Medicago truncatula: one gene and its partners. The main gene of each other region encodes a partner of the protein of the gene in region 3 in a complex. Links are inferred from orthologs where the notes say so. Each region holds a gene or a part of one and is shown on either strand. Other genes may lie near its edges.

Region 1 (8,182 bases), on a different chromosome or scaffold from region 3:
TAAAGTACCTTCGAAAAAGAGTACTTTTTTTAGAATGCATAAAATTGAATGGAATGAGCTTTAACCAAAAGTTGTTGAATGCTACTTCAAAAAACTATTTCTTCCCAATTTATTTCACAAGCACCTCTCTTCAACTCCCGTCGGCAACCTTTTGTTTTATTTTTTCAATACGCTTTTTTCATCCATTTTATTTTTTTTAACCGGTCCATTTAATTTTTTAATGAGGTTCCATTTAAGTTTATTATCTATTTTTTTAAGGAATTTTATTATCTTTTTATCACTTATATATTAATTTCGATATCTTTTGATCATCACAACCACGCAAATATTTGTATTCACGCTGTCAATGAATGACACCGAATATTTTTATTCCCTTTCTTCAACCACGGAAATACACACACACATTAGTGTTTAGAGTAATACTTTATGTTCCTCTTTCTGTTTTTTTTTTTTTTTGTTATGCTAATGCGTATAATTTTTGTTAGTGTTGTGTAATGCGTATAATTATTTTTATAAAATTTTGATTTTAATTAAAAGTACAAGTGTAGTTGCCTAAAAAAATTATACTTATATATAATTTACACATTTGTATTGTAACAAACTATGCATATCTTTTTCTTATTAAAAAAACTAAACATATCTTTTTCAATGACACCAGCAATGTAACAAATATAATATTATATATATAAATTCTTATCTTTTTTACCAACACTAAAAATATGGTATTCTTATAACAAAATTTGTTATAGAGTATAATTGGAAAAGAAAAAACCAATTATTCTCATTATATATACACACATATACATATTATAGATATGATTGAGCGTGACGAAGAAAGCAATATAAATGAAGAAATCAGTTCATATAATCCAGGAAGAGTGCAAGATGGAGGCTACATGAATAGAGTTAGAAATCAAATAGGAGTTGCGTTGATGGAGAGTAGAAATATTTGAGTTTGTGATGATTTATGTCTTTAAAAAAATGATTATTGTTTTTAATTTTCCAAACTACTATGATATTATTTATGTTATTATTTGAGCCTCCTTAAATTATTTATCCTATTCAAATATTTAACAAGTCGTTTATATGATGATACAAATTTGTATTCATGTTACACAAAATAAACGTCATTGAGTAAATATAGTATTGGTAAAAATATATATTTTATATTTTAAATATTTTTTCCCTTCAAAAAATATTTTAGACATTTTTTTATTAATTATGTTAATTCATAATGAATTCAAAGTTTTTTTATTTATAGACAATGCATAAATATATGCAAGGTCCCGGGTTCGAACCCCAAACACCACCAAAAAATAATAATTCAAAGTTTTGTACAATATTTTGCCAAATAGCTTTTAACTCAAAAATAACTTTAGAACTAAAAAAAAAATAAAGAAACCAAACAGCTTTAACCTTTTTCTTAAAGAGCTTTATTTTAACTTTGTTTTAAAGTAGCTTTTAGACCGAAAAAAAGTCTGGCCAAACGGTACCTAAAAGTGGGTAGTTACTTATAAATGTGGGTAGTTTTTTTCATTAAAAAATAAATTAAATTAAATTGATGAGGATAAAATTGGAAGAAAATATAAAAAGCTATGAGCTCCAAGCTCAAAAGCTACTTGAAATAGCTTCTCATAAAAAGTTATAAACTCATGAGAAAAGCTCGTTAACAAACACATCATATGGCTGTGTTTGGTAACACAAAAAAGCTAGCTTATAGCTTGTTGGATTAGCTTATAAGCTCGTTAGATGAAAATGTGGCGTGTTTGATAACAAGCTTTTTTCATGAGCTTATAGTGTTTTCTGAAAAGCTATTTCAAGTAGTTTTTTGGCCTCATTTGGATTGGCTTATTTTGAGCTTATGTGGGCTTATCTATTCCCATAAGCCTTTTTAAAGGTGTTTGGGTAAATAAATAAAAATAGCTTATCATAGTTTCATAAGCTGTTTATGGCAAATTTCAATAAGCCTAAATTTTCAGCTTACCCTCCGGCTTAACAAAGAACTTATGAATTTATGTAACCTCCTTCGATTCTCTCCGGATCCACTTTTCAAAACATATATTTTAATTATAATATTAGTTATCTTTGGCGGTGCATAGTAACAAAATTCCTATATACTTATCTTACTAAAGTAACACATGTAACTAAGATTTTTTTTTTTTTAAGGAATATTTTTATTATTTTTTTGTTACATAACAAAATGAAAACTGAATAAAAAAAACAAACTTAACTTGATATTTTTTTAAGGACGAATATTGATTATACTATATATATATAATTATAATTAATATATTATAATATTGTTTTTTACATCTTGATTAATTTTATCAAAAAAAGTCTTGATAATTGTGGTTCGATTCTCTGATATTTTTGTTAAATTAAAAATATTTAAAATTTCAATAATTGCTTATGTAATGTCACATCCAAACACTTCAATTTATGTAAATACTTTTTAGTGTACATATCGAAACATAAATAGCTTATCAAGTATAAGAGCTTATGATGTAAACTCTAATGCTATAAGCATCTATATAAGTTGTTTATCCAAACGGGGCCTTTAACTTATAGCTGGTAGCTTTTTATATTTTCTTCCAACTTTAACCCTATTAATTAAAATTAATTATTTTTTTAATTAAACAACTACCTATGTTCATCTTTATAACCGCCCCATTTTTCCCTTAAAAAAATACCACGTTTTTTTTAGGAGCACTTTATATATATATATTTTTTTTAAGGAAATGCTTTATATTTTGCTATAACTAACCTGCTCTACACCACACAAAAAATAACTAGCCTATTTTTTTTTAAAGGAAAAAATAACTAGTCTATTGTACGTTTTAAAATTTTATATATTCTAGCTCACATTTTGTTTCCACCTTTCTCTTATTTTTGGGATTCATAAAGCAGAGATCAAAATTGTCGGTGAATTTTTTTTAGGATTAAAGGTCGAAGAATAATTTTATGGAGACTAAGACCAAAAGTTTGAATATTTATAGGGACCAAAAACATATTTAACTATAATTAAAAATATTAAAAATAAATACATTACAAAAAAATGTGTGTGTCTATATGTATATTAAAAAAAATAAATATGTCATTTTATACTTATCAGTCACTTCAACAACTAATTTTACCAAACACATTATTTTTAATAAGCAAGCTTTTTAGCTATAAGTTATCAGCTATCAACTAGCTTTTCAGCTATCAACTAGTTTATCAGCTATTAGCTAGCTTATAACTTATTTTTACCAAACAGAGCCATAAGCTAAAAAGCTACTGGAAATAGATTCTAAAAAAAAGCTATAAACTCGTGAGAAAAGCTTCTTACCAAACACATCACGTTTTCATCCAACGAGCTTATAAACTAATCTAACAGAGATATAAGCTAACTTTTTTGTGTTACCAAACACAACCTTAGTATCTGAGCAAAAAAGGAGTTTACGTGGAATGAATCGTACATCGAAGGATGTTGGAAGTCCCTTCTTTTATAGACCAAAATGCAAAGATCCAACGAGTGATGCAAAAGGTGTTACATATTCTACAAAACATAATATCATGTCTCTCGAGGTCTCTCTTTGACGGAGAAGGAAAATGTATTTAGTGTTTGGGTTTTGTTGGACATGTTTATGAGCTTTAGCCGGTATTGGACTTATGTTTGAACCATGAGTTGTCGAACACAACCCTAGGGTGCGTTTGATTTGCTAAAAAATGAAGGACAAGACAGAACAACTCTAGTTGTCCAGTGTTTGATTTGTAAAACTGTTTCAGGTACAGGACAAACTGGAGGCAAGGGACAGGACAAAAACTCATATTTTTGTCCCTTACCAAACCACAACACAACTTTTTGTCCCACGTACAAGTTGTCTAAAACATCAAAATAGCATTTTGTCCCTCAAAAATCGTATAAAACAAAAAATTACTCAATGCCATAAAAAATTTGTCCTGTACTGTTCTGTCTTGTGTTGTACTGTTCTATCTTGTACTGCTCTATCTAGTACTTGCTGTTTTGCAAACCAAACACAATATTGAGAGAGCTTCTCATGTATCTAATTTTCTAATTTGTTGTAAACGCATATGTCAAATTTCCATATAACTTTTCTTTTTCATTGTTACATCCCATTTAAAAAAGAAATGCATAACATATGCAAGGTCTGGGGTTTAAACTTCGATCACCACAAAAAATAAAATAAAAATATTCAAACTGGATGTTTTATTTTCTATAGTTTTCGGCTTGAAAAATTAAGTCCTCTCAAAATAATGTATTTATTTTTTTCGTTAACTTTTTGATTTTCAAAGGGACGAGACTTGTAAGGTAAATAAAATTCGATCAAAAAGTGTTATGCAAAATGTAAACTCATATTCTCTAAAACGAGTGTAATTTTGTAACAAAAAAAAAAACGAGTGTAATTTTTTTTTAAATAACCTAATGACTGGAGCTCAGACATTTTAAATGTGGAGAAATGAGATGTTCGGGGTTTGAACCCTGATCGGCATATACTATGTATTGTTCATACCAGAGCTAATCTTATGGAGATAAAACAAACATAATTTAACTTAACACATTATACATATGTGTCAAATGAGTTGTGTTATTTGAACAACCATTTAGGTGACAACTTTGATGACAACCATAAATTTACAAAGAAAAAGAGGTATTGATACAAAACCAAAGCAATAGAGAGAGAAAGTAAAAATATAATACGAGTATGAGATAGAAAGTTGTCACAAAAATTGTTAAAAAATGGTTGTTCAAATATCATTTCTCGTGTCAAATATACTAATATCTATTTTTAGAGTTGTTTTTTTTAGGTGTTAACCGTACAAATTTATTTATGTCATAGTGAGTGAGTTTAAGCAGTGGTTACAGTTTGTATTATTTGATGGGCCTTTACCGTTAAACGAAGGCCCAATCCGAGTTGTACGAAAAAATACTAACCGAGGAGGATCCCACTATCTTTTTGCTACCATCCCCAGCACCAAAAACAGTGCAAATGCAACAAACTCAGCAAGCCACGGCGGCAACTTTCTCAACCCCCACTCCTCCTCCCTCCTCCACCGCCGAAGCACCTCCGAAGCAGGTTGCTCTAGCTATGGACAAACTCGGTCAAGCCGAACGTATCATCGCCGACATCCGAATTGGCGCTGATCGTCTCCTCGAAGCTCTATTCATCGCCGCCGGTCAACCTCATCAAGGCAATAAGCCTCTTCAAGTTTTCGTCAAAGAGAATGCTTCTATGCAACAGCATTTTAAAGACCTTCGATCCCTCGGTATGCGTTTTCAGTTTCGTTGCGTTTTGATTGATTTTGATTTCGCGATTAGGGTTTTGGTATCGTCGGTGTTGTTTGATTGATTTTTTCGATTTGATAGGAAAGGAGCTTGAAGAAGCTGGAGTTCTTAGTGAAACTGCACGGTCACGGAAGGATTTTTGGGGATTGCATATGCCGCTGGTTTGTCCAGATGGTGCCGTTGTTGCCTATGCTTGGAAACGACAACTCGCCGGTCAAGCTGGAGCTTCTGCCGTTGACAGGACTAGGTTTGTTTCCGCTCTTTTGGTTCCTTGTCAACATACCTAGCAGACACCGAACACGACTCAAACTCTTAAACGGTTGTAGTAATTTAAGAAAATAACATAATTGAATGTAATCACATGTGTCGGTACTACAAAGCAACTTACAATTTTCCCTTTTGTAGTTGGTTCATTTTGATGAATGTTATGGATAGGAATCAAATCCAAAGAAAAAAGAACCAATGGAATTAATCATTTTTAGTTAGAAAATATTCTTTTTCCTTTACGAAGATATGCGCATACTTAAGAGTTAAGAGGATATTTTAGTTCTTCGAATCGTAGTATTACCTCCGGAATTCATAACAAGCAGTAGTTATACATGATATGAGCTTTAGCCAAGTTATGCTGCCAGATAACTGCCTCATACGTGCCTGAGTTGTGTGGAAATACAATTAGTACAGGTATGCTAGGTTAGTGTTGTAGATTGTTAGATGCAAGGGCCAAGGTTATATGATAAGAACATGAATAACAATGCCACTTGGGGTGATGCGAGCTCACACATCATATTCAAGCTCTAGTCGGTCCAGTCACATGAATGTGTGCTGATCTTTTCAAGGAAGCACTTACCGGATTGATTATACATTTTTTTTTTTAAAATGAAAGAAATTGGCAAAATTACACAATTTGTCTCTTTAACTTCAAGTAATACTTTCGTCCTTTTATCTTTTTTTTTTTTTTTCCGACTTAATCCTTTATGTTATAAAATGTCATCATCATTATTTCTTTTTTTATTAAAAAAACTCACCAAACTCATAAACAAACCCATTTTATCTTCATCATACAATTCTAGAAATCCAAATTTAATTGAAAAAATCCCTTAAACCCATGAGTCCATTTTCTACATAACCTTAATCATTTATTCCCAACTCATCAACAAAATCAGCCATAACCAAAAGAAAAAAACAACCATAACCAAATTCCAACTCCGTACCCAAACAAAAGAAACAAAGAAAATCGAAGAAGAAAGGGTGAAAAAAGATGAAGATCCTTTTATGTTGTTGGAGTGCTAGGTTGATTGACGAGAGAGAAAATGAAGAAGATGAAGTTTTGATGAAATTTTGCATTTTTTGACGAAGTTGTGAGTTTTGTGATGATTTTTATGGATTTTTGATGAATTTTATGTATTTTGTTTTTAATCTAAAAAGGATAATGGTGTTTACATTTTATAACATAAAGGATTTAATAAAAAAAAAGATAATATAGGACGAAAGTATTAGCTGAAATTAAGTTAAGGGACAAATTGTGTAATTTTGCCAAAGAAATTCTATTAAGGAGCACGAATGGCCAACAAATAAGCCTATGCATGGTTGAAGTTTTGGAAAGAGAAAGCGAGAAAGGGTCTCATATTTTATTGGAATTAAGTAATATTAAATTAGGTTCTTATTTCAGATTTGATTCAGGTGGTTAAGTTTAGTCAGTAGATAATAAATACTCTTGGGATTTGTCGGATTTATCATACTGACTTCTCAATGCTGCTGACCCATGTTACATTAGCTGCTCACTTAGGCTTTTGAATGATTTCAGGTTAGCTCTCAAAGCTTTTACTGATCAGAAAAGACGTTTTTTCCCCCATCTTGATGATGGAGTTGAAGCTAATGAATCAGATTCAAAGAAACGTTGTGGGTCTGAAGAAGTCACATTTGAACCTAAGGAAGTAATGAGTTTTCTAAGGACGCTGCCAGATGTTCTGCAGTCCTTGGAAAAGGAAGTGCCAAATGTGAAAATTTCAACTTTTGAAAGGCTGGACTGGTTAAAATGTGCTTCCACACTCACCTCTTCACCAAATGAGAGTTCTGAGGAACATAACTATCGTGGTTCTAGTAAGCGAAAGTTAGGATCAATGGGAATGGTTGCTCCAGAGAAGGTTGCAGTCATAGAATTGCTGTGCCCTTCTATCTTCAGAGTTGTTATATCCTTGCATCCTGCTGGTTCCATTGATCCCGATGCTGTCGCTTTCTTTTCTCCAGATGAGGTATGTTTATATTTACCATGGTTTGTCTTTCCTAATATTCATTACGGGGTGTGAACTATTTGTTCTGGATATCGTATTATAAATAATGACTCGGCGTTAGTTTTGGGATGCTTATGTATCAGGTAACTGACAATCTCAGAAAATTAAGAAATTGAAAATGTGATTGTATTTACTCATCCAAGTCTAACTGTTTCCCAACCTCCACTCTGCATAACTGCCATGCATGCCTTGTAGCTTTCTCTCTCAATGACCATCTTGGCAGAAAGTTGCAACTCTTATCCCCTCTGAAATTTTTTGATCTAGTGCTTCACATCTCTTCTTTCTCCTCCCATAGACTTTAGTTATTTTGAATCATGGCGCCAGGCCTGTAACATCGTGGTTAAAAATATTTTCACTTTCCTCTCTTTTGAAGCCCTAGTTGATTGAAGTGTCGATTGGCTTTTTCTAAATGAAGCTTGTATGAATCCCATATCTAATTCAGCTGCCATACAACTTAAATTTCATCTTGCACTGTTAATTTTCACTGTTCTTTGGTTCTCTACTAATGGCTGTTTGAAGGGAGTTGACATTTCTGATTTACAGAGACTAGACAGAGTGGTTCCATATTTTTTGTTTCATTCTTTCATTTTGTTTTGTCCTTGTT
Region 2 (7,306 bases), on a different chromosome or scaffold from region 3:
TTATTTTGATGAGAGAATGATTGATTATGAGAGAGATAGAGACAAAGTCACCAATGTCACCAAACTCAATGTCATCCAAGTGCAACCCCTTAAACAGACCATGTACTTGAAATTAAATAGAAGCCAAACACCTAATCTACTCCTGAATAATCTGCTGTATCAAAGATACCGATTACTTATAATTCCAACATCCTTTTTTCACAACTCATTCCTTGTTTTCTAACTAAACAACTTTTTTGCCCTTTCAAATACACGATTCAACAACCACATATGCAGCTATTACTTAAATTAAAGAAGCTGAAACTCTTATTGATAAAATGAAAATCATACAGTGTATGTAGGTAGGATTTGCAAGGCATTGAACAAATTCCAGTTCCAGCAAAAACCGTTGTCGCCCATCATCTGGATCCTTGTATATACTCTTTGGCCTAGAGAAAAACAACCATCAGCGCTTAAGTACAGCTCAATATGTCCAACAAATCCCAAAATCATACTTCTATTAATGAAAAAAGAAATTGATTAAGACAGAACAAATTAAAATTTGTAGTATACGGAAAGCCCTTGAAATGGGCACACACTTCATGCTGAATAGAACACAAACACTATTGGTTATAACCAATTTATGCAGGGTGGCTTGAGAGTTCCTCTAAAAAACCAACCAGGCCTGGTAGGCTTAAACTAATAACTTTTCCAGCATAAAGTGCCTCTCCTTATCTTTTGCACCATAAATTAAATTTTCAAACTGTTACCAGATATGCCCATTATAACAAAGACCGATCATAAAAAAGAGTAAAAGAGCAGACTGATCAGAGGGATGAGCTGCTGTCTAAACCCAATCCGAGAAGAATAAGAGACTAGAAAGACCGAGTCTCCAAGTTTTGTACAAGAAGGATGAAAGACGCATCAAGTGGAACAACAAAACTAAAAAATCAGAGACGGATAAAACAGTTGGAGGAATGACAGAAGGGGCATATGCCAATTGGAGAGTGGAGCGATAAAGAATCAGCTCTATTGTGCAGCACTTGTAGGCACTCGTTTCTACTTTTTTTTTTCCCGTCATTCCAACTTTCCTGTTTTCGCTCTCGCCATTAATTTTTTAGGTTTTACCGGTCTCTGTTTTATCAAATTTGTATCAAAGCTCCCAATCCTGGGAGAGTATGAAATCTACAGGAAGGGAATCCTTAGAGACAAATGGACGAAACAGGAAGGTAATTGACAGGAAAAGAGGCTAATGATGGACACTCTAATGCTTGCAGTGAGAGCGGCTGTGGCTTGTCACACAAGGGTTGATCATGACTAATGAGTCGGGAATCACAGAGGAAGGGAAAACATTCTTCACAAAGGCTTAGCCTCACCATCACAAACAATTTTTCTAAAATGTTGACTTTCTGACCCCCCACCTTTAACTATATAGAAATGATTCCATATATCTCTCCATGTTAGAAAGATAGAATACAAGAAAATGAGAGAATGTTATCAGAATTCATTATAATTGGTTGAATGATAACAATTATACTACTTTTTTATTTATTACAGATACATAGTGTAACAAACTCTAGCCAACTTGAAGCCTGTAGAACAAGCTACTGACTCTAACTAACTAGAAGCTTCCAACAGAAGCTATTAACAACAGAGAAATTCAGCTGTCATAAGACAGCTGTAACACCTACCTTACAGAGGCCGGGCTCAAGGCCCGGTCCATACACTATCTCTAACACTATACTCTCCCGTTGCCATTTGTCCCTTCTGTTATTCCTCCTCTAACTGTGTTTTCTCCCACAACAACTTTTGTTGTTCCCCTTGATACGTCTTTCTTCTTTCTTGTATAAACTTGGAGGCCTACTCTATTTGTCCCCTTATTGTCCTCGGGTTGGGTTGAGATAGCAGACCCACCCCCTTGCTTACTTTTCCCCTTTGCTCCCCTTCTACGATAGACTAGTGTTGTATTGGGCCTATCAATATCAAACACAACCTTAAAAAAAAATGTGGCCATGATAATGTGACATGCAAAAGGCATTGAAATTAAAAAAGATTACAATTATACTTACGGTGATGGTGGGGTATCTCTTGGACTCCCGCTTTCAGTTTTAGAGGCCATGGAAACAGAATCCTCAACTACAAGAACAAAAACACACCTATTTAATGAAATATAATTAGCAGGGTTAGAGCTTGGAACTTTTATATGACCCAGATCACCTTTGAATATCTCTCTTAATATAAGAAGGGAAGATGTTGTGGAAAACTTATTTTTGCCCATCAATGATTGGCTGCCACATATCACTTTTAAGGGTAAATTTTGTCTTAAAATTACTTTTTCTAACTAAATGACCTCACTTAACTACTATGATGTCATTTAACTATAAAAAGCTTATAGTTTGATTTATTTTGCTCTTCAAAAAGTCAGTTCCATTACATGCCAACTATAAGCCAGATTTTGGTTGACACGGAATCCAATCAATGGAGCCAAATTCTCAATTTCAAAATTCAAATTTCAAACAGACTTTATATTTATCCTTCAATACTCATATTCTTTCATTTTCCTTTCCTCTTTTTTCTGACTTATTCTTATCTACATTTTTTCTTCTTTTCATTTCTTTAGCTTCATTTTCTTCTCTCATTGCAGGAAATTCTTTTTAAAAGGAAGAACACAGACAGGTAAAATAATTTCTTTTCATCTTTACAAAACCATGAAAATGATCATTAAACTCATTATTTCTTTAATTTTTTATCTTCATTTTATTGTTGAGCTACATATGACATATTTAACAAACTATAGAATCTTCAACATCACATATGAGGCAAAACAAGAAAATGTATAAAGATGAGAAGTTAAAGAAAGAATACATATCCAAAAACAGTCCTAACACAATTTTACAATTATATCAACAACAAAAAAGCAAATATACAAAATATATTCATTAGAAAATGCTGATGATTGTGCCTTCTTAGTTTGTTTGTTGTTTGTCTTGCAAACTTGTCAGCTGATCTAATGTTTATCCTTTCATTGTCAGGAAGATTCCAGATCACATACGAGCAATAAGGGAAGGAAAAAAAAAAAAAAAAAAAAAAAAAGAGCCCATAAATAAGAGATAGAGGGATGAGCAGCTGATTCTCAGAGTGAAAGAATTGAGAATATGGTTTAGTATCAGTTTGGTTTTATTTTTTTATGCATAACAATTTCGGCTTTGTAAATAAATAAAAAACTATGTTTTTAGTTAAACCACAACAAGTAAAGTAATAGCATAAAGTGAATTTTTTAGAAAGAAATGAATATTATTTGAGTCATATTACAAGAAAATGTAAGTGAATTTTTTGTTAAATCATAACAAGTAATAACAGAAAGTGAAAAAAAAAATTCTTTTGATTTACAAATAAAAATTTTATTCTTCTGTAAAAAAAAAATCCTAAATTCTGAAGAAAAAAAAAAAAAGGCTGTTCTATAGATTTTTGTTATCAATCTGTAGTATAAAAAAAAAACAGACTTTTTTATCAGTAGCATCAGAACTAAAAAAGATTCATCTACAAAAGAAATTTTTACATCTCTAGAAATAAAACAAAATCACATCCAATTTCATATTTGTATTGTTGTTGTTGCATGTAATGGAAACAAAATATGTAAAGAACTTGACCTTGATGAAGACAACAGCCCAGGTTTAAGTGTTTGTGTAAAAATTCTGACCCAGATCGGGATGAAAACACGTAAGCTCTTTCCCGGCGCGGTGGTTGCAAGCTCCGGCGTGGTGGTCACCGGCGAAGGTTGTCCGTTCCTGATTTTTTTAAATGGGTTTTGTAGAGAAGATGGAGGGGACTCTTTTTATGGTGATGGATTTTCAAAAGCTTGTGCGTGGATGTCAAGATCTAGCCGAAAAGATGGTCGTAGGGAAATTTAAAATCATCTTTGAGTTGAAATAAATTTGATAGAGTATAATTACAGATGAAAAGGAGAGGATGAAGATGGTGGAGCAATGTAACGACTGCCGGAGACACACTGAAGGAGGGAGGAGGCGGCGGCGGCTAGGGCTTGTTTGAGAATGAGAGAGTTTTCTAGATTTCTTTGGTGAAGAGAGAGAAAATTAACTTTGAAATAAATATGGTGTGTGTGGAATAAAGTTAAATGACAAAAAAATAGGCTTAATTGCACTTTTGGACCTCTATCTTTCCAAAAGTTGCGGTTATGGACCCCTAACTAATTTAAATACAAAACAACCCCCTATGTTTTGATTCTTTAGCAGTTTTGGACCCCCAAGGCAAAAAAACAAAAAAAATATTGACACGTGGCACCTCACTTAGGGTGCCACGTCAGCGTTGACCGAATCAACAATGTACTGGGGTCCAAAACTGCCAAAGAATCAAAACATAGGGGGCTGATTTGTATTTAAATTAGTTATGGATCCATAACCGCAACTTTTGAAAAGATAGGAGTCCAAAAGTGCAATTAAGCCCAAAAAATAAAATAAAAAGAAAATTATAAAAATATACTCTAAGTTTGTACGAGATAGAAAGGGGTAAAGGGGTATAGACTTTTGAGAATTGCTGTTCCCACATTACATAAGGTTGTGCCACACGAGTAAATGACGTTTTTGCCCCTGCGGTAGTTAACTACCGAAGTTTGAAACCGGCTGCAGTTAACTACCGAAGGTCCTTCGGCAGTTAACTGCCGACGAAAAAACGAAAAAAAAAAAAAAAAAACATCGGCACTTAAGTGCCGAAGAACTCATAATATTTTTTTTTCAAGATTCTCTTAGACTTTCAATTCCACACTACACTGAAGTGTTTCTTACATATTTCAGAAATAATGTGCTTGCCACTTTGATACAATATACTCCCTCTGGTCCTATTTACAAGAGACAATTTACTTTTTAGATACATCAAATAATTTATGTATTTGGTTTATTGACTAGATACATATATTATTCAAATCTAAAAAGTCAACCTTCTCTTATAAATAAGATCGGAGGGAGTAGTATACAGTGGACCATATTAGACAAAGACAATATTATCAACAGGAGCAATTCTTCATTAGCTTTTGTGAAAGTAAATAAATAATTCTACTAATCACAATAGGCTTAACATCTTTCATATTTAATTATACATAATTGCATGTGTAGCATTAGTGCATTACACATTTCTTTCTATATAATATATTGTTAGTAGTAAGTTTTCATTATTTATATTTATCTTGAATGAAATCATGAGATAGTAAGTTTTTAATATTTCCAATTGTGGAGGTTAAAGTCTAAGAGAATCTTGAAAAAAAAAATATTATGAGTTCTTCGGCACTTAAGTGCCGAGGTTTTTTTTTTTTCGTTTTTTCGTCGGCAGTTAACTGCCGAAGCTGCAGCCGGTTCTAAACTTCGGTAGTTAACTACCGCAGGAACAAAAACGTCATTTACTCGTGTGGCACAGCCATATGTAATGTGGGAACAACAATTCTCTAGACTTTTTTTATTGCAAAATTAGTGTAACATAATAAAAATAAAAATAAATAATTTCTTTAAAAAAATAATTATTATTATTATTTTATTTTATTTTTATCAAATAATAAAAAAATAGTAGTAGTTTATTTAACCTATAAAAATATAATTTAATAAATGTTATTTTACATACGCGCGCATATATATATATATATAACGACGTGTTTTTTTACAAGATCTAAAGACGTGTTGTTACATTAATTAATGAATATTAAAATTTAATTTTTTAATATTCATAAAGACATAAGGTAAATAAATTTCATTGTTACATAAAAATAACGGTAAAACATTGATCGTTTGATACGTACAACATATCAAAGAGAGTAGTATTAGAAAAAAGAGTGATGTGTATGGATTTAAAGTGAGGCAGTAACAGACGAGATATAAATAGTTTAAGAGACAAGTTTTAAAAAAGGAGTAAAAAGTCAATTACCCCCCTGAAATTATAACTTTCGTCAAAACCCCCCTGAAATTGTCAAGCGTCTGTCAATTACCCCCCTTCGTTAACTTCCTCCATCCAACATGCTGATGTGGCCGTTAACTGCCACGCGGCGCTGACACATGGTCAAAAAAGTCATGCCACGTCATAGGGGGGTAATTGACTATATTTTATTTTATATAATATATGAAGGAAAATTTCGAACAAAAATAAAATAAAATAAAATATAGTCAATTACCCCCCTATGACGTGGCATGACTTTCCTGACCATGTGTCAGCGCCACGTGGCAGTTAACGGCCACATCAGCATGTTGGATGGAGGAAATTAACGGAGGAGGTAATTGACAGACGCTTGACCATTTCAGGGGGGTTTTTTACATTTTGCAAAATTCAGGGGGGTTTTGACGAAAGTTACAATTTTATGGGGGTAATTGACTATTTACTCTTTAAAAAAGAGTGACAAAATATAGGCTTAATAGGTCATTTGGTCCTTTAATTAATTTCAAGTTTTGATTTTTGTCCCATAACTAATAAAAGTCAGGTTTTGGTCCCTCAATTGTATCTCCGTCGGTCAAATAAATCCTTGGCTGTTAAGTTTAACCCCAAATGTCTATGATGGATTACTTTTAGAGTGGTCCACCATAGATCCTATTAAATATTTTAATTTAAATCGTTTGATCTTTATTTTTTAAAAGAACCATTAGATTATACATGTCTATTTTATCTTATGATGTACCAGCAACACCTAACTTTTTTTCCTTTTCTTCATCGTTCTCCCCCTCAACTTCTTCATCATCTTCATCAACATTCTTAAAAAGAAAAAAAAAATCCAAAAACTCATAAATCATCATCAACCAATTTTTCTTTCCTTTCTTCATAATTCTATCTAGCTTCTTCCCTATCCTCATCTCTGAACAAATTTGCAAAAAAGAAAAAAGAAAAAAAATCCAATCCAATTTCAATTCAATTTACAGAAAATCAAAATAAACAACCCAATTTTTTTTTCTTCGAAGAAGAATGAATTGAAATTCGATTAAACAATAAGCAGCATTCACTTATCATTACAATCAACAGCAAGCAAAATTAACAACCCACTATATTAGTTTTTCTTCAATAAGCAACGAAGGATGGTGAGAAATAAACAACCCAATTAGTGGCTATAACATATATTGTTAATATAGAGTTTTTCTCACCATCGTTCTCATTATTACAATCACTTTCTTTCTCTATTCACACCATAGCCACTAATTTTCCCTTTTCTCTCTTTAACCAAACCCTTTTTCAAACAACGTTTGTGTGTGTTGGGGTAATGCAGACTTGTATTTTGGCCTTCTGTATGTTATTTTTTCATTTATGTTCGTTACTGGTAGTGTGGAATTTGGTGGCCTGTGAC
Region 3 (7,866 bases):
TCTTTACCAATATGTACCAGTTTACTTTTTAATGATTTGTTATTGGATATTATACCAAGTAAAACTCTGTGCCACCTTAAACAAAATTATTTTAAATCTAAATTAGAGAGAAATTAAATTATATAGCAGGTGGCAGAAAGAAGTTGATTTATTTTGAATTTAAATTAGAGAAAAATTATATTATGCAACAGTTTACTTAAATATGGTAACTGGGTATAAATTAAAAATAAATCAGCTAACACAGGTAGCAGCAAGAAGTTGATTCTGAAGCTATCAAAAATTATGGTATGAACAGCTTTCACAAAGCAGGAATTATGAAAATTAGCAAACTGTACCAGAATAACACCCATGAGTATTATAGGTGACTAGGGAAAACTCGACGTTGGAACCAGAAGGCTTCTGCAAAAGAAGGGGAAAAAAAAATCAATAGATTAATCACAAGACCTTCATTACACAAGACAACAAGAAAAACACATTTTACTAGTATGATTCTAACAAATGCATATATCTGAACATTTACCAAATGATTCCCTACGGGACATTCACCAAAAAAGACTAAAAGCAAAACCCTGAGCTGCAGATCATATAGTATCGGAGAAAAAAAGCAAAGAAGACCTAAGTATAATGCATAAAACCTAGGCAATGAAGAGACCACAACAAGTTGATATTTCTAGTGATAGAATATGAGTTTCTATGTTTAACAATAGCTTAGATGTGCATGCTATTGTGCTAGAATTTTCCTATAGTTAGTTCAGTTGGATAGAATTTGTTATATTAAAGTTGTCTACTATTGCAGGATAACAACTACAGCTTCGCTCTGTATTACAACTTCTCGTAGTGGTTGCTTTGTTGGCCGCATATCTTTCCAGTACCAAATCTGCTATCGATTTGTTCATGAAGGTGGTGGCATTTGATTATGTGGGTGAGCATAAAGAGGGCTTAGGGCAGCTAGAGTGGTCTTTCCGTTTTAGTTGCACTACCGAGACAAAAGCTATATTTTTCTGAAGAGCAATAGACTTAGGAGTTAGGACCTTAGTAGCATTTCCCTTTTCTAGTAAATTAGTATATGCTAGTATCTCTATTATATTCTAACATGTCTGGTCCAACCTACTTGATCATCAAAGCAAATGATATTTACCCAGCAATAATGTTAACAGGAAAACATCCATGCCAGCATATAAAAAGAATGAAATGAACATATTATCAAGCTTAGCCAACGGCTTCTATAAATCATCACTAGACAATACCAACTTAAGCTACTGAATAGTGGATTGTGCCTTGTTCAGGTAAGATTGAAGGTAACAAATAACAATCAATTGCTTGGAGTGTAGCGAGGCTATGAATTGACTCGTATAGTTGTTCTTAAACATTTCCGAGTCTTTATCCACCGCCATACCATGTGTTATAAGGACTAAAAATGCAGCATTAGCTTTGGATAAATAGACTTCCATAACAAGCTACTTATGTCGTCAAACCATTAGGAAAGACAATATGTTTATCCAAAGCCAATGAAAATAACTAACATACACTCACTACATATGAAATAAGACTAATCAAAAGTGGTCAAGTGACACATTAAATACTAATATTTTCTTTCATTTTTTTCAAAGACTGAAATTTTCACCGAAGTAAAAATGTATACCTGCCCAGTCGACTCGTTCCCACCAAGGCACCTGTAAGAATACCAAAGTAGGTTAAAACATGTGGATCATAAGATGTGTGGTGATATATAGCCATTAATATAGACTGAAGTATGCATGCGTACATGTATATACGGCATATCTAGTGAGAATAGTGTTTTTATGTGCGAGAGGAAATCATATTACCCATTGGAAATCTAGATTTTACGCGTGATCGCTAAGGGAAATCTAGATTTTCCAAAATGTTACGCTTAGAAGTATGGGAATAATAAATGTGTTCGATAAGACACGACTAATTAACTTTCTCATTTCCAAGAATTCATTTCATTTAGGAAAAAGTTATTTGGAATTTTCAACGAATTCCATATCCTCTGAGCTGGATTCATTTCTTTTCCGCATTAGCGCTAAGAGAGCCGCTTTACGCCAAAATGTTACCTATACAGCCGAATAGTATCTTACTGGCAAGAAGCATTTGGATCATGGCAGAAAGATTCGCACCGACTCATGTGATACGAATCATAAAACACAACAAACTTTGAGGCTGCCAATACACAGAGCTGGCTGAATCAAAATGAGAAGAGACACATCTATATCGATTTCAACCAAGTATCATACGAAATTGTTCACATGGATTTATTAGATCCTCTAAAATGAGAAAACCAATGATTATCATTCTGATAAACTCATGATCTGTTACGATATACATGCAATATCTATCTTTGATCCGTTAATTAATGGTTGATATAACTTGGTTTACACTCTAATGTGAATTGCTCACTTTAAAGAGTCAGATCCAGCTTACATGTTTGACTAATACCGGCAATTAGTTCAAACGTCGAACCCAACATGTTTAAATATAGTCTAATAAACCAAACCTAACAACAATCAACACAATTTAATAAACAGAATCAACATCATTTCTACAAGAACAACAGAACTTCATCTTCATTTCATAATCATAATCAATAACAATCAAAACACAATTCAGTTACAGCACTAAAATCAAAAACCTAAACTCCAAGAAAAAAAAAGTTGAAAAATCAAACCCTAATTTTGATTGAAAAATGAATAGAAAAACAAACCTGACGATTTTTTCAAGATAATCCATTAGAAGAGTATCCCAATAAGGTCCCATAGCTGCAGTGGTTTCAACAGCAACGATAAGCTGTTTCTCCGCCATAGTGTTTGTTTGAAACGAAAACGAAAGAAATAACAACAGAAGAGAGCACACAGAATATTAAGGTATTGGGTTTTATATAACACAAAACAGCTTTGGATTTTGGTTTATATGGGAAATTGAAAAGAAAAAGAAATTGTATTATTATTATTACAAAGAAATTGAGTGAAAAATAATACAATGAATGTGGGAATTGTTCTGTTAGTTTGTTTCTGTTACTTTTTGGTGATGACTGTGGCCAAAGGCAGCGGAGTCGTTTAGTTTCACCTTAGTTTGTTTGGGGAAGAAATTCTGACAACGAACCACTTCAGATGGACAACAACGCAAAATGTGGTCGTTAGTATTATTAAACTAGAGTGATGATACATGTGTGGCAATACACCCTTTACATCCACACAAAATTCTGACACGTGGCAACTTGGACCCCACACAAATAGAAGATAAAGTGTGGTTGTGAGATGAACTTACCAAAATATCCCTAATACATGGAGTGTACAATGGAGTGTAGGAATAAAGGGTGTTCATGTAACATTTTCCATTAAACTAAGAGAAAATGATATTTGTACGAATATTTTATGACATTTTTGAATAATTTTCTCTCTCTTACTTATATGATTTTTTTGTTTTCCTCTCTATTATTTTTTATAGATAAGAAATAAGATTAAAAAGGTTGTCATAAAAATTGCTATTAGATAATATGAACCATAATATGAACCACATGCATCATTAATTAAAAGAATCTAAAAAATCAATTTTGCTTATATTTAAAAATGGAGAGAGTATTGTAGAGATAACATTAATTAAAGTAAATGATTTATTTTTTAACAAAATTAAAGTAAATGATAAAATATTTAGACAAAGTCAAAAAATACAATTATGATAATCATAAAAAATATAGAAGAAGACCGCTTTCTCTAAAAATAGAAGAAGGTCGCTTTCTGGAAAAATGTCAAAATTGTTAGGCTGGATGTCATGATCGGGGTTTGAATTCTGGTACCTTCGCTTGTGTATGTGAGTCATTGTAGTTTTATCCGACTCGAATGATTAATCTATGTAAAGTCAAATAAACTATGTAGATGATGCTTAGTTAACAAAAATAAAAGATACAATTAAAAAGAACATATAAACTAATCCCTCCACTAGTATATAAAGTCCATTTAAAAAATTAATAATTTATAGCATCGTATAAATATAAGGTCAACTTTAAAGTTAAATATAAGTATAAATTTATATATAATTTGAAAACTAACTATTTTTTAATTGAAAGATTTTAACCTCAAAACAAATATATTTTCTTAAGTATTTTTCTGTTACAATCTAATATATATTTTTAATTTAAATTCAAGAATAATATTAAATATAAACATGACAAAATACAATAGAAAAAAGGGGATAGTTCCGCTAATAAATTAATATTTAAAAATGTTATTTGGAATTAACCATTTTTGTCTATCCAAAAAATATGATTGAGAGAGAAGAATCTATCTTGTGGGTTTAATAGATTCTTTAAAAAAATATCAAAAGTTATTTTAATAGAATGTTATAAGCCCATAAAATAATATCATTATCATCTAATTCTAATTTGTCATACTACTAAAGGGTATGAGCTATAAAAAGGGTTGGAATTTTAGAGAAGTTTCAAGATTTGAACATAAATTTGAATTCCTCAACTGAAAGGTGCAATGCAAAATGATGAATGTTGAAAATGGATCGATGAATGAAATGTGAGACCTTTAGAAGACTTATGAGGTAATTTAGGAGAAAAGAAAGTTGAATACTTAATGCAGATCAGTAAGTAGCTCGGCAATGTTATGTCAATAGTCTTAAGAAGCAGCACAAGATACCATTAAATATTGGAGAACAAAGATATGTGTTCCACGAGAAAGACTTGCTTGAGCACAAACATTTAGACACATCAGTTAGACACTCACATATAAAATTATATTTCATTTAATTATTTAAAAAGGAAATATTATTTAATTATTTTCTCTCTCTATATTTTTTCAATCATGTGTGTATGTTCAAACCCTTTTGTCCACTTAAGTATTTTTCTGTGTGTTCCACATAGAGGGGAGGTGGTGTACCAACCAAAATTCTAATACTCAAGATAGTATATGATTTAATAAAGTAAGATGTTTATCTGAGAGAGTTGTGTACTACTTCCTCCGTTCCAAATTGTATGACGTTTTGGCCATTTCACACGTATTAAGAAATGTAATTAATATTGTGTGGGGAAGAGAAATTATGAGTTGTTTTACAAAATTATCCTTAATAAATGGTATGGAAAAGATAAATGAAATAATTGAAAGAAGAGGGAGTAATTAATAGTTAAGGATATAATATGAAAAGTAACATTAATATTTCATTGATATTGTAAAGCGACATATAATTTGGGACAAATTTTTTTTCCAAAACGACATACAATTTGGGACGGAGGGAGTATATTGATAAGTGCCAAACTATAATTATTTTCACTAGCACTTATCAACTTATTTGCAAGTTATCAAGTATAAAACCCCCAATTATATATGTTCTGGACCGGCCAAAAGGATCTTTGGCCCATTTACTTAGGCCCAATACACTATAAAGTTCAAACACCACGTTTGATAAAATTACCCGCGACACACCCCTTCCACGCGAGGTGGGTGCACGGAACGAAAGAGACTGGTTAAAACGAACTCCAACGTCTCTTTCCATGTTCCCGCAATAAACTCACAGGCGGTTACACTTCCCACGATTTCGTAATTGTCATTTTGAAAATTTTAATTTATTTCTTTTTAAAAAAATTAATTACTGATAATGCTCATCACAAGAGTAACCAATTTCCACGGATAAGTCCTTGTCAGTTTGACTCAGTTGGTAGGGGCAATGCATAATATATGCAAGCTTCAGAGTTCAAACCCCGACTGTAACACCCCGTTTCCCAAAATCAATTAAATAATAATTTTTCAACATCAGAGTAAAACCCCAACGGGCATGTCACACTACAATTTCAAATTTCTTAAATAGAATATATAAAAATCTATTTAATTAAACATCCTTCAAAATTCATCATTAAACTTGCAGCGAAATAATTCAACTTTAATTAACAATCATCTCCAATAAATATTCATGGCATAGAAGCCTCAACAAGCAAAACCAATCATCAATAGGGCTACAACAGCAATATTCAAAATTTGATACATAGGAAAGAATTAAACACATAAAATCTCATCCCACGTATCAGAGCGCTAGACACTTTGAGCCACCACCAACTACTCAGGATCACCTGCAAGTTACCCATAGGAAGGGCAACATTTTCAAGCAGAAGGGGTGAGATTCACAACAATAATATAGATAAAGAATGCATCATTTGAATCTAACACCCTATCACATAATTCATCAACAACATATAAATATCATCAATTCCAATATCATCAACAAATGGTAATTAATAACTCACTCAACGACTCATGCAACTCATCACCACTCAACTAAGACTCCTCTAACAACACCATGCATGTGGTACCAAAATCAAGACCGTAGCCCTCACCGCTGTAGAATGGTTAAAGCATTCATTTTCAGGACATAAGTCCTCACCACTAACACCACTTTGAGCAACTAGTACTCCACCACTTTGAACGACAAGGCGTTCCAGATCCGAAGCTCTCCCACTGTTATGCTTATGCAACTGACCCACTTGTGTATATCTACATACAACCCAACCTATACATATATGTGTATATGACTCACCACTCCAATTTACAACATTCAAGTATAACTTAATTAATTAAAAGCATACATCCAGCCAGCATCCATTACAATCAATATAGAACATCCATAAAAATACACCAATATAAAAGTCATGCTTAATCATCAAGATAAATCAACCATCTACAACAGAATCCAATCCAACAAATACTGGGCAACTCGCCTCGCGAGCACATCTGCTCGCTATGGCGAGCTTAGGAAAAAGGGCACTCGCCATGGCGAGTTCGAGGCGAACAGAAAAAGTGTAACGCCCTAGTTGTCATATTTAATTATTTGATTTATGTGGAGTCTATATATATATATATATATATGATTTTTGGTGATTTATGTGGTGTGTATATTTTATTATATGGTTTATTTTAATAATAATTAGAATAAGTGTGAAATAATAATTATTTTGATGTTTGGGGAGTTAATAAAATTGATTAGAATTAATGGGGAGTTAAGTGAAAATAAAGGGAGTTAAGTAAGAGGGAAGTTAGGAATTAGATGTCAGAAGCTTTGTACGTGAAAACTGTCAGTTTTGGGAGAAAGAAGAGAAGAGCAAGTAGAACCCAAGAGAATCCTTTTGTTGTGCATTTTTCATTCTGAATTAAGGTAAGGGTGAGGTTTACTTCAGTAGTATAGACTTTAATTTCTGAATTTGAATTTAACAGAGTTTTGGTGAGAATTGGGATTTAGGGGTTTTATGATGAAATGTTGATTTTGGAGTTGTAATGATGATTTTGATGTTAGAAATAGGTTCTGAGTGCATACAGTAAGTTATCTCACATCTGTAAACTAATTTGGGGAGTGAATTGAAGAAAAATGGGATTTTGGGGAAAAACCAGTTTTCTGCCCGTACAGAAGTTCATCGCTCACCTCGCGAGCATTCATGTTTCGCCTCGCGAGTGAGCAACTTCATCGCTCGCCTCGCGAGCAGACCAACTCGCCATGGCGAGCAAGCCTGGACAAAACTTGATTTTTGAAAAGTTGTTATAAGATGTTTTGGGGATGGTTTAAGGTACCTAGATGATATTAATGATGACTGGAACAAGTTTTAGGTTAAAAAGATGAATAGGGAGCTTAGTATTGAGGTTTGAGTGAGAAAATGTCATTTTTTCCGAGAGAACCTATTTTTCACTCGCCTCGAGTTCGCCTTGAACTCGCCATGGCGAGCAAGTGGTTTTGTGAACTCGCCATAACGAGCAGATGTGCTCGCAAGGCGAGCTGTGCAGTTTTGAGTGCTGTTTTGCTTGCATGAATGGTTGTGATGGAATATTGTTGTTTAAGCATAGTTATATTTAATTGTGCATAGTT
Region 4 (8,157 bases), on a different chromosome or scaffold from region 3:
CTGAACACTTGGACTTCTGAAACATAAAAATTAAGGTTAGAGAGAACCACAAACTTACAAAATTAATGCACATACGAGTTATTTTATTTTGCTTACATCTTGCTGAGCATTGAGAGGCCTCTTAGGGACAGTACTGTTTTCAATTTTCGGCGGCATCTTTGGCTCCACATTGGCTTTTCGCTGAATGTTCGAGTTTAACGGTCTTGCACGGCCAGTATCAGCAGCCATTGGTTTATTAGGCCTAGCTGCAGCCTCGTTTTTCTTCATGTGCTGACTCTTGTTGTCCTTGGCAGTGACGGCCGTTTCATTAGATGCCGGAAAATTCCTCTTGTCCTTAGTTTGAGTGCCAAGAGCTGGCTTTCTTCCGTTGTCACGGTTCTTGTTGAATGGTGCACTCTTTCGAATATCTGAAAAAACATTCCCCATTTACAATCATCAATTTAAGACGAGGGGAATTTAGACACAGAACCGTAACAACGAAAGCTAGGTAGACTAAACATATGAAATGCAAATTCAACTCACTTCCATCGTCATCCATGCCATCAAAGAACTTTACATCGTCCAGATATATACAACACAAGGAAAAACCAAAATTCAGTTTCATATATACAAGCCTTTGAAATGTAAGTTTGAGAAGGGAAAAAGGACAAGTATATATACCTGTGAGAGTTCAATCGTACCGGTTGGGGCAACAAAGAAAGCCCCTTCGTCCAAAGGAGGTGAAGGAAGTCCTCCTTCTTCCTCTTCTTCATTTTCAACAACAGATGGATTTCTGGAGTCCGGTGTGCCTTCTTCTGAAGCTACAAACATTCAATAGCATTTTTCCGACATGAATTAATTTTGAAATCGAATAAGAAACCAGCATAGTTGTACTCATCAATACCACACTAATAAGGTCGATAAAAAATTCTACCTGCGACAGGTGTGGTTGTCGTCGCCTTCACCCATGCATTGACCAGTTCTTTCCATCCACTAGAAATTAAAAAACATTAAACAAGTTTAGAATTTGAGTTTGTTCGGTATCCAATTGAAAACATTAACAGATTTGGCATCTCAACTATTACAATGATATGAATCAAAACAATAATGGCCAAGTCATTCACCTATCTAAAGCATGTCATCAATGTTAACATCAAGGACACATGACTAACTAAGAACATGGTTCAAATTAACTAAGGCTTATAACTTGTGACCATGATTATGGAATCGGTGCAACAGTCTGATTAGTTAAGGATAATGATAGTGAATTGCATATTGAACAACACAGCGGCCATGATTATAAAATAAACCACAATCCGCAGACGAGAAACTGAAATCCATGAAAAAACTAAACCATACTCTATGAGAGTCCGTGCTAGTTGACGGATATCCTTCGATCCATGCTTTCTCAGATGATTCACAGCCTTTCCAATTTCAGTTGACTGCACAATTTAATTTCTGATTGTTAAGAGAACAATCTTAAAAAAAGTACTAGAGAAACAACACAAAGTTCCCCCAAAGCTACTAAGAAAGATCAATTCTAACCTTCAGAAGATCGACACAGAGTTGCATCAGTTGAAGCCTCCTCAGAGACTCAAACAGCACCGAGTCAGACTGTAGCAACATGAAACAAGCAATCACTAATCAGTGATCATAAGACACAAATGAATTCAACCTTCAAACACGAACAAAAATGCCATCCAAAAAACACCATATCAAGACGTATCCTTTCCAAGAATCACATCACACATTCATGAAAATTATAATTCAAAGAATCAAGAACTAATGCATCAGTATGCAAACAACAAAGAAAAAGAAAAGACTATACCTCATCTTCATGGTTATTGAGAATCTCTTTAATCCTCGTAACCTCAGCAACAAGTTGTGATTGCTCTTCAAGTTCATCAGTTAAAGCTTCAGCTTCTCCAAAGCTGTAATTGCTAATAGGGTTAGCATCCATCACTCCATTTTCTTCCCTACTGCAATCCACCTTGCTCTCTTTGCTAGCACCCTCTCTAACAGAACTTCTCTTGCAAAGTTCATCACCATTATCATCATCAGGCACAGACAATTCAACCTTCTCACACCCCTTACAACGATTCAGCATAACAGAAAACAATCTCTCAGCAATTCCATCTCTCCTAGACTTAAACTCCTTTGGACAATCAGAAGCAGCAACAACAATTGCATGGTCAATTATATCGAAAATATCCGAATTCGATGAACGAAAGTAACTCCTCCACTGATCAAGTGACTCTGACTTCATCTTCAATCCCAAAACAACAAAAAATTCAATCTTTCAACAGCTAGATCCAAATATGTTATAATAAACAATCACCCACGATTCAAAACTCAATTTTTTCTCACTTGGGTCATTGAAAATCGGTTTGATTCTTCTTCAGGTATTGATCTTGAACCCTGAATAAAACAATGACGAAAGAATGATCAAAAGGGTGAATATTTTAGTCTGAAAGAATGATAATCAAGAATCAAATTCTTGGAAGTTTGTAAATTTATTAACTTTAATTTAAATTTGATATTCTTGGGTATCCCATTTAGGAAAATTTGATTGGATCAATGTTCGGTAAGAAAATTGGATATGATGATGATATGGTTTTGGAACAGATTCGGTAACAAGAAACAACATAAACCAGAAACAAGAAAACAACATAACACGCATATATGATAACAAATTACTACGTTGTGTGTTATGTAAAAAATATTGTATTGTTTCACATTTTTCTGGTGTGAATAAAAACCAAAAACCTCAAAAAGAAGAAATAACCTTTTTGTTTTGTTTTTTAAGGTACAAAAAAACATCTAAAAAAAAAAAAAAGAAGCGAAATTTAAGGAAAAAATAAGACACCTGAAAAATCTAACAAGAAGAAACTGCAGATTCAGTGTAACAAAAACAAAAACATAATCATAATAATATCTATCTACCTATGTAGATTGTAACAGCTTTTTTTAATGTATACGTAATGTTGCACTATGATGGTATGGTATATGAATAGTCCAATACCGCGTGCGTATGAAAAACTTGGTACTTTTGTTTCTCTTCCAACAAGAAGAAGTACTTTTAGAGAGAGAAAAAAGGGTTTTATGAATTGTGATGATACCTTTTGGTTGTGTTTTGACTTTGATCGAAACAAAATTTGGTTTGGAGAGAAAGATTAGAAAAAGAGCAACAGAAGATGTGGAGAAAGAGAAGTGCTAAGTTCTGTCTCTTTGTGCTACTATTTTTTTATTTCATATAATATATCTAGGGTATTTTTTGGACTGATTTTTCTTAAAGAAATTTACCTATATTTTGGGCCCATAAAAAATATAAGAATATACCTCCCTAAAAAAAAAAAAATTATATTATATTTCTTATCAAAAAACAATTTATATTATATTTATGATATTGTTGATATACTCCGTAATCGAAAAAGATAAACATATTTTGTTATGTTTGTTGTAATTTAAGAGTCACAAATATTTATATCTATATAATTTCTTCAAAACAAATATTTATACTTATATTTTTAATCAAAATCAAACTCTTATATAAAACACTTCTTTATAATCTATAAATTTTAACACAATAAAAAGAGCACTTATATTTGTAAGCAAAATCAAACTCTTACATAAAACACTCGTTTATAATATATAAATTCTAACACAATAAAAAGAGCACCTATATTTTTAATCAAAATCAAACTCTTATATGAAACACTTATTTATAATCTTATAAATTTTAACACAATAAAAAGAGCATAATGTTTGTCGATTCATTACTTATATATAATTTTTCTCGTTATTATTTTGTATTTTTTTAATTTGACTAGTTTTATATTCTATTTTCTATTCAACAGGTTTTTTTTTTCAAGTTTTATCATTATTATTTTGACAAGAATGGTTCAATTTTATATTCAACGGATTGTTTCCATATAATCTTATAATTAATATGGTGTTTCCATATAAATAAAAATTTACCATACAAATGATAAAATTAAAGATAAGATTATAAAACTCACGTCTAATAGATATTTGTGGAGATATTTTACGAACTAGTTTAAAAAATAGCATAATCGGTTATAAAAAACAACATAATCGATAAACATACACTTTATTAATGAATCAAATCATTTACGGACGACAATACGAAAAAGGTATTTCCACATATGAAGGCATAATCAAGTAATTTGATTAAATTTATGTTTAAGTTTTTCTTTAGACGGAATGTTCGTGTTTGTTAAATCTAATAACGAGTAATTTGATTGAATTTATGTGTAAGTTTTCCTTTTGATGAAATGTTCTTGTAAGTTAAATCTAATAACGAGTAATTTGATTGAATTTATGTGTAATTTTTCCTTTTGACGGAATATTCGCATAAGTTAAATCTAATAAAAATGACTTAATTTTTTTTCCGGAATAAAAATGATTTAATTTAAGACTTTGTATACAAGAATTCAACTAAATCAAACAATAATAACATATTTTTAAGTTACTCCCTAAAAATATCTCTAACAAAATATATTAGTTGATTTGATTATTTACTTTCTTAAAATGTCTCTAAAGATAACTAATTGAATTTGATTGAATTCTTGAGTAAAAAAGATATACACGGAATATTCATAAAAAACAATAATCTCTCAAATAAAAAAATATTATAAGAAAGTAGGTAGTGAATGTGGTGCGATATAGATAGATAGGGCCGAGAAAGCGGTTCTGAAGGAACGAGTTATGTGGGGCCCTAGACTCGGTGCTTAAATACAACCAAGTTTTTGTGAGTTTTCTTTATTTTAATCTCATATTCTTCGAACATATCCAAATCTTTCTGTTTAGATATAATTATTAGCAAAAGATTTTACTCTATCTTTTCTTATGCATAGTTTTATTTTTTTTTAAGTTTATTCGGTATAAATTAAAAAATTACTTTGATTGATAACCAAGTTTTAAATATAATTTTACCTTTTTTACTCATTCACTCATTTTATCATTTCTTCCATATAACTAATGGAATGACGAGTATTACCATTTTTTAAGTATGTGTTTGTCTGTTTATATTTTTTATTGTATGAAAAATCATAAATTTATAAATCAAAAAGTCAGAAGAAGATAAAATCATAAATTTGAAACTTAAAAATTCATAAAAAAAAGATCGAAAAGACAAAATTAAAACAAAAATAAATAATGGATCTAACTATTATCCGAAATTAAGTTGATGATTCATAAAGTATCAATTCAATAATAGGAGTTTTATTTTATGACTTAAGGGACCAAGTTAAAATTTCAGGTAATTTTTGCTAATACATAATTTTATTCAAGACCAAAAATATTTTTTTGGTAAAATAACACAATTAATTTGAAATTGAATAATGGTTTATTTTTAATATTATTTTAATTGTGCACATAATTATAGTCAAAGACTAAAATAGTTAATATTATTATAACAAACAAAAGATGATATGACCACAAATTTTATAAACAACAAATAAACTTCCTTTTTATTAAAGAAAAAGATTTAGAGCGAGAGGAAGACGCTCGGTTTAAGGTAAAAGAAGATCTTTTGACCAAAAGAACAACTACAAATATATTTATATTTATCTCTCTTTAAAGATACTAATAAGGCTCAAACCTGAAACGTTTAAACATATCTAAAAAATCTTCCTTCCTCACATAAAAATTGTTTTATTTAATTATTTGACACCGCTTAAAAAAAATGTATAAATAAAAAAAATCTTTTAATCGGGAACTTCATTCGTAATAAACTATAACAGAAATAATACTCTGAATTAAAAAGTATCATTAAAATTCCATCACTAAGTTAATGATTATATTAATTTTTGGGATCAAATTTGAGACCTTCTTTTTAAAACTTATTCAATGTTCTTTAGTTCTCTTATCAAGCTACCTTCACGAGTTACTAACTATTCAACTTGCATAACTAGATAACTAACTACCTCAAAATATACGTACATATTACATGGACAAATTTTAATAAAAATGAAAGTAAATAATTGGTTAAATTTAACATGTTCAATTTTTATTTTTTGAGTAAATCACCAATTAACTACCTCAAAATATACGTACATATTACTATTCAATTAATGAAGGTTTTGAGCTAAAAAACTATGGAAGAGTGAGTATCATCAAAAGAAAAAGCTGTGGGTGATGGACACATAAAAATGGAAATGGGTAGGTGGTGGTCAAGAAGTTGACGTGTTGTTATTTGGAAGTGAGAGACTATGGTATGGTGGTGGCGGCGACACATCAAGTTCACTGCACCGTCACACATGATTTTGTGATACAAACTTTGTACATTTATTTTTTCTTTCGCACTGATTTTTGATCTATTAAAGGTGGCGACTAATCTGGCTCGTGCATAGAGGCATGTGCACTGATCAAGTGTTATTTTTCTTAGGAATTGAATTCGATATTTCTCGGATACGTCAATCGAAGAAGCTTCTTGCCACTGAAGTCCAAATAATTTGGTCCATACATTTTTTTCTTTACGGTATGGAGGCTATATTTATGCACTATAATTGTGAAGAAGTAAAAAAACTTTGTACATTTTTTTTATACACTCCGGAAAATGCTTAGAAGATTTAAGAACATTATTAAGGTCTGTTTGATGTTCAGGATATGATACAGGTAAGATATGATATAAAGTTAGATGGAGATAAAATATGATAATGACATGATAAACATTAATCTTATCATGTGTTTGATGCGCACATGATAACAAACAAGACATCATTATAATTAAATTAAAAAATTGCTCTCATAATTAATTAAATATTATAAAAATGGCATGTTATTAATTATAATAGAAAATACATGCAATCATTATTTTAAAAATAACAATATTATAAAAATGGCAGAATATCAATATAATAAATAAATAAGGAATGATCTTTTTTATAAATGTTTGTAACTTTTAAAATATGAAATCTTACACTACAACATTTTTAAAGAAAAAGTTGTTTACGGATATAATTAGAATACTAAAAACACGAGTATTGGGACAAGACGAAGTGATTAATTATAAAACAGTTAGTTCATTTCGCAAAGTAAATGGTACACGAAAGAGATTTCCATAAAAGAGAGGTGGGTCACTTGGACCTCTTAAATGCTAAGATTTTCCTCGCCAGAATCTCTCATATGTGACATTTTAAGAGCCTTCGAAACAATATCGATAAGAGCCTTCGAAAAGCATGAGGAATCAAGTTGGTAATTAGATAATTAATTATTTTCAAAACGTCTTACATATCAGCCCTACGCGTAAAAATATATTGAAAATACATTATTGTGCACATTAAAAATGTAAAATTGAACGAAATTGTGATTGATTTATTTTTGCTACATATATTCAGATTGCTTCACAAAATATATAAAAAAAACAATCTTTTATTTTAAATCAGACGTGTAAATATATTGAACGAAATTTTTTCTTCAAATTAAAGTCGTAAAATTTAAAACAATTTTTTTTATAAAGAAAGAAATTTTCATTGATTTATTCTTTTTTTCATATATTCAGATTTGGTCCGAAAATATATTGAACAAAAAAATTATTTCAAACCAACAAGTGTAGATATACTGTCTCAAAATTTTGAACAAAAAAGTGGAAATATACTGTCTCAAAATATATTGAACAAAAAAATTATTTCAAATAATCCTTAAAAAAAATTATTTCAAATAAAAAAGTGTAAATATATTGAGAAAAAAAAATTCTTCAAATTAAAAAGTGTAAATATATTAAAAAAAAAAATCTTCAAATAGAAAAATGTAAATATATTGTCTCAGAATATGGTGAGCAAAAATTTTCACCAAATTAAAAGTGTAAAATTGAACAAAATTTTCATCGATTTACTTTTACTACGCATATCCAGATAGGTTCCCAAAATACATCGAACAAATTTGTTTACTTCAAAGTAAAAAGTAAACAAATATTAGAAGGATAGAACAAAACAATTACATAATTCCATTGGCTTCCACGCAGTGATTTTGTAGCTGAATTGATTAACATATTTTTATACACAATCTTTATAAGAATTAAAAACAAACACTTGATTAAACAAAATTAAGCAAAGAGATGCATCCGACTTTCAAACGTATCACCATATAATTATAACATACTAGCATAGATCATATTTGAATTAATGATTCAATTAACGAGGCAATTATGTTATT

The links.
Region 1: mediator of RNA polymerase II transcription subunit 25 (region 3) and mediator of RNA polymerase II transcription subunit 27 share a complex: the UniProt entries of both Arabidopsis thaliana proteins name them as parts of the mediator complex. The link is inferred for Medicago truncatula from reciprocal best matches to the Arabidopsis thaliana genes PFT1 and AT3G09180.
Region 2: mediator of RNA polymerase II transcription subunit 25 (region 3) and mediator of RNA polymerase II transcription subunit 31 share a complex: the UniProt entries of both Arabidopsis thaliana proteins name them as parts of the mediator complex. The link is inferred for Medicago truncatula from reciprocal best matches to the Arabidopsis thaliana genes PFT1 and MED31.
Region 4: mediator of RNA polymerase II transcription subunit 25 (region 3) and probable mediator of RNA polymerase II transcription subunit 26b share a complex: the UniProt entries of both Arabidopsis thaliana proteins name them as parts of the mediator complex. The link is inferred for Medicago truncatula from reciprocal best matches to the Arabidopsis thaliana genes PFT1 and AT5G05140.

The regions. Positions count from the first base shown.
Region 1 is NC_053048.1:50,166,608-50,174,789, forward strand, and holds the start of mediator of RNA polymerase II transcription subunit 27, read left to right. Parts: upstream 1-4,921; 5' UTR 4,922-4,991; coding exon 4,992-5,268; intron 5,269-5,368; coding exon 5,369-5,534; intron 5,535-7,091; coding exon 7,092-7,539; intron 7,540-8,182. UniProt on the Arabidopsis thaliana protein: Component of the Mediator complex, a coactivator involved in the regulated transcription of nearly all RNA polymerase II-dependent genes.
Region 2 is NC_053042.1:49,977,098-49,984,403, reverse strand, and holds the start of mediator of RNA polymerase II transcription subunit 31, read right to left. Parts: upstream 3,330-7,306; 5' UTR 2,258-3,329; coding exon 2,197-2,257; intron 2,136-2,196; exon of another isoform or gene 2,116-2,135; coding exon 2,049-2,115; intron 1,973-2,048; exon of another isoform or gene 1,703-1,972; coding exon of another isoform or gene 1,671-1,702; intron 429-1,670; coding exon 331-428; intron 1-330. UniProt on the Arabidopsis thaliana protein: Component of the Mediator complex, a coactivator involved in the regulated transcription of nearly all RNA polymerase II-dependent genes.
Region 3 is NC_053046.1:24,549,176-24,557,041, reverse strand, and holds the start of mediator of RNA polymerase II transcription subunit 25, read right to left. Parts: upstream 3,138-7,866; 5' UTR 2,821-3,137; coding exon 2,723-2,820; intron 1,674-2,722; coding exon 1,643-1,673; intron 400-1,642; coding exon 336-399; intron 1-335. UniProt on the Arabidopsis thaliana protein: Component of the Mediator complex, a coactivator involved in the regulated transcription of nearly all RNA polymerase II-dependent genes.
Region 4 is NC_053048.1:41,746,258-41,754,414, forward strand, and holds the start of probable mediator of RNA polymerase II transcription subunit 26b, read right to left. Parts: upstream 3,223-8,157; 5' UTR 3,099-3,222; exon of another isoform or gene 2,846-3,098; intron 2,398-2,845; 5' UTR 2,356-2,397; coding exon 2,347-2,355; exon of another isoform or gene 2,246-2,346; coding exon 1,808-2,245; intron 1,594-1,807; coding exon 1,525-1,593; intron 1,422-1,524; coding exon 1,339-1,421; intron 973-1,338; coding exon 914-972; intron 801-913; coding exon 661-800; intron 551-660; coding exon 523-550; intron 408-522; coding exon 97-407; intron 17-96; coding exon 1-16. UniProt on the Arabidopsis thaliana protein: Component of the Mediator complex, a coactivator involved in the regulated transcription of nearly all RNA polymerase II-dependent genes.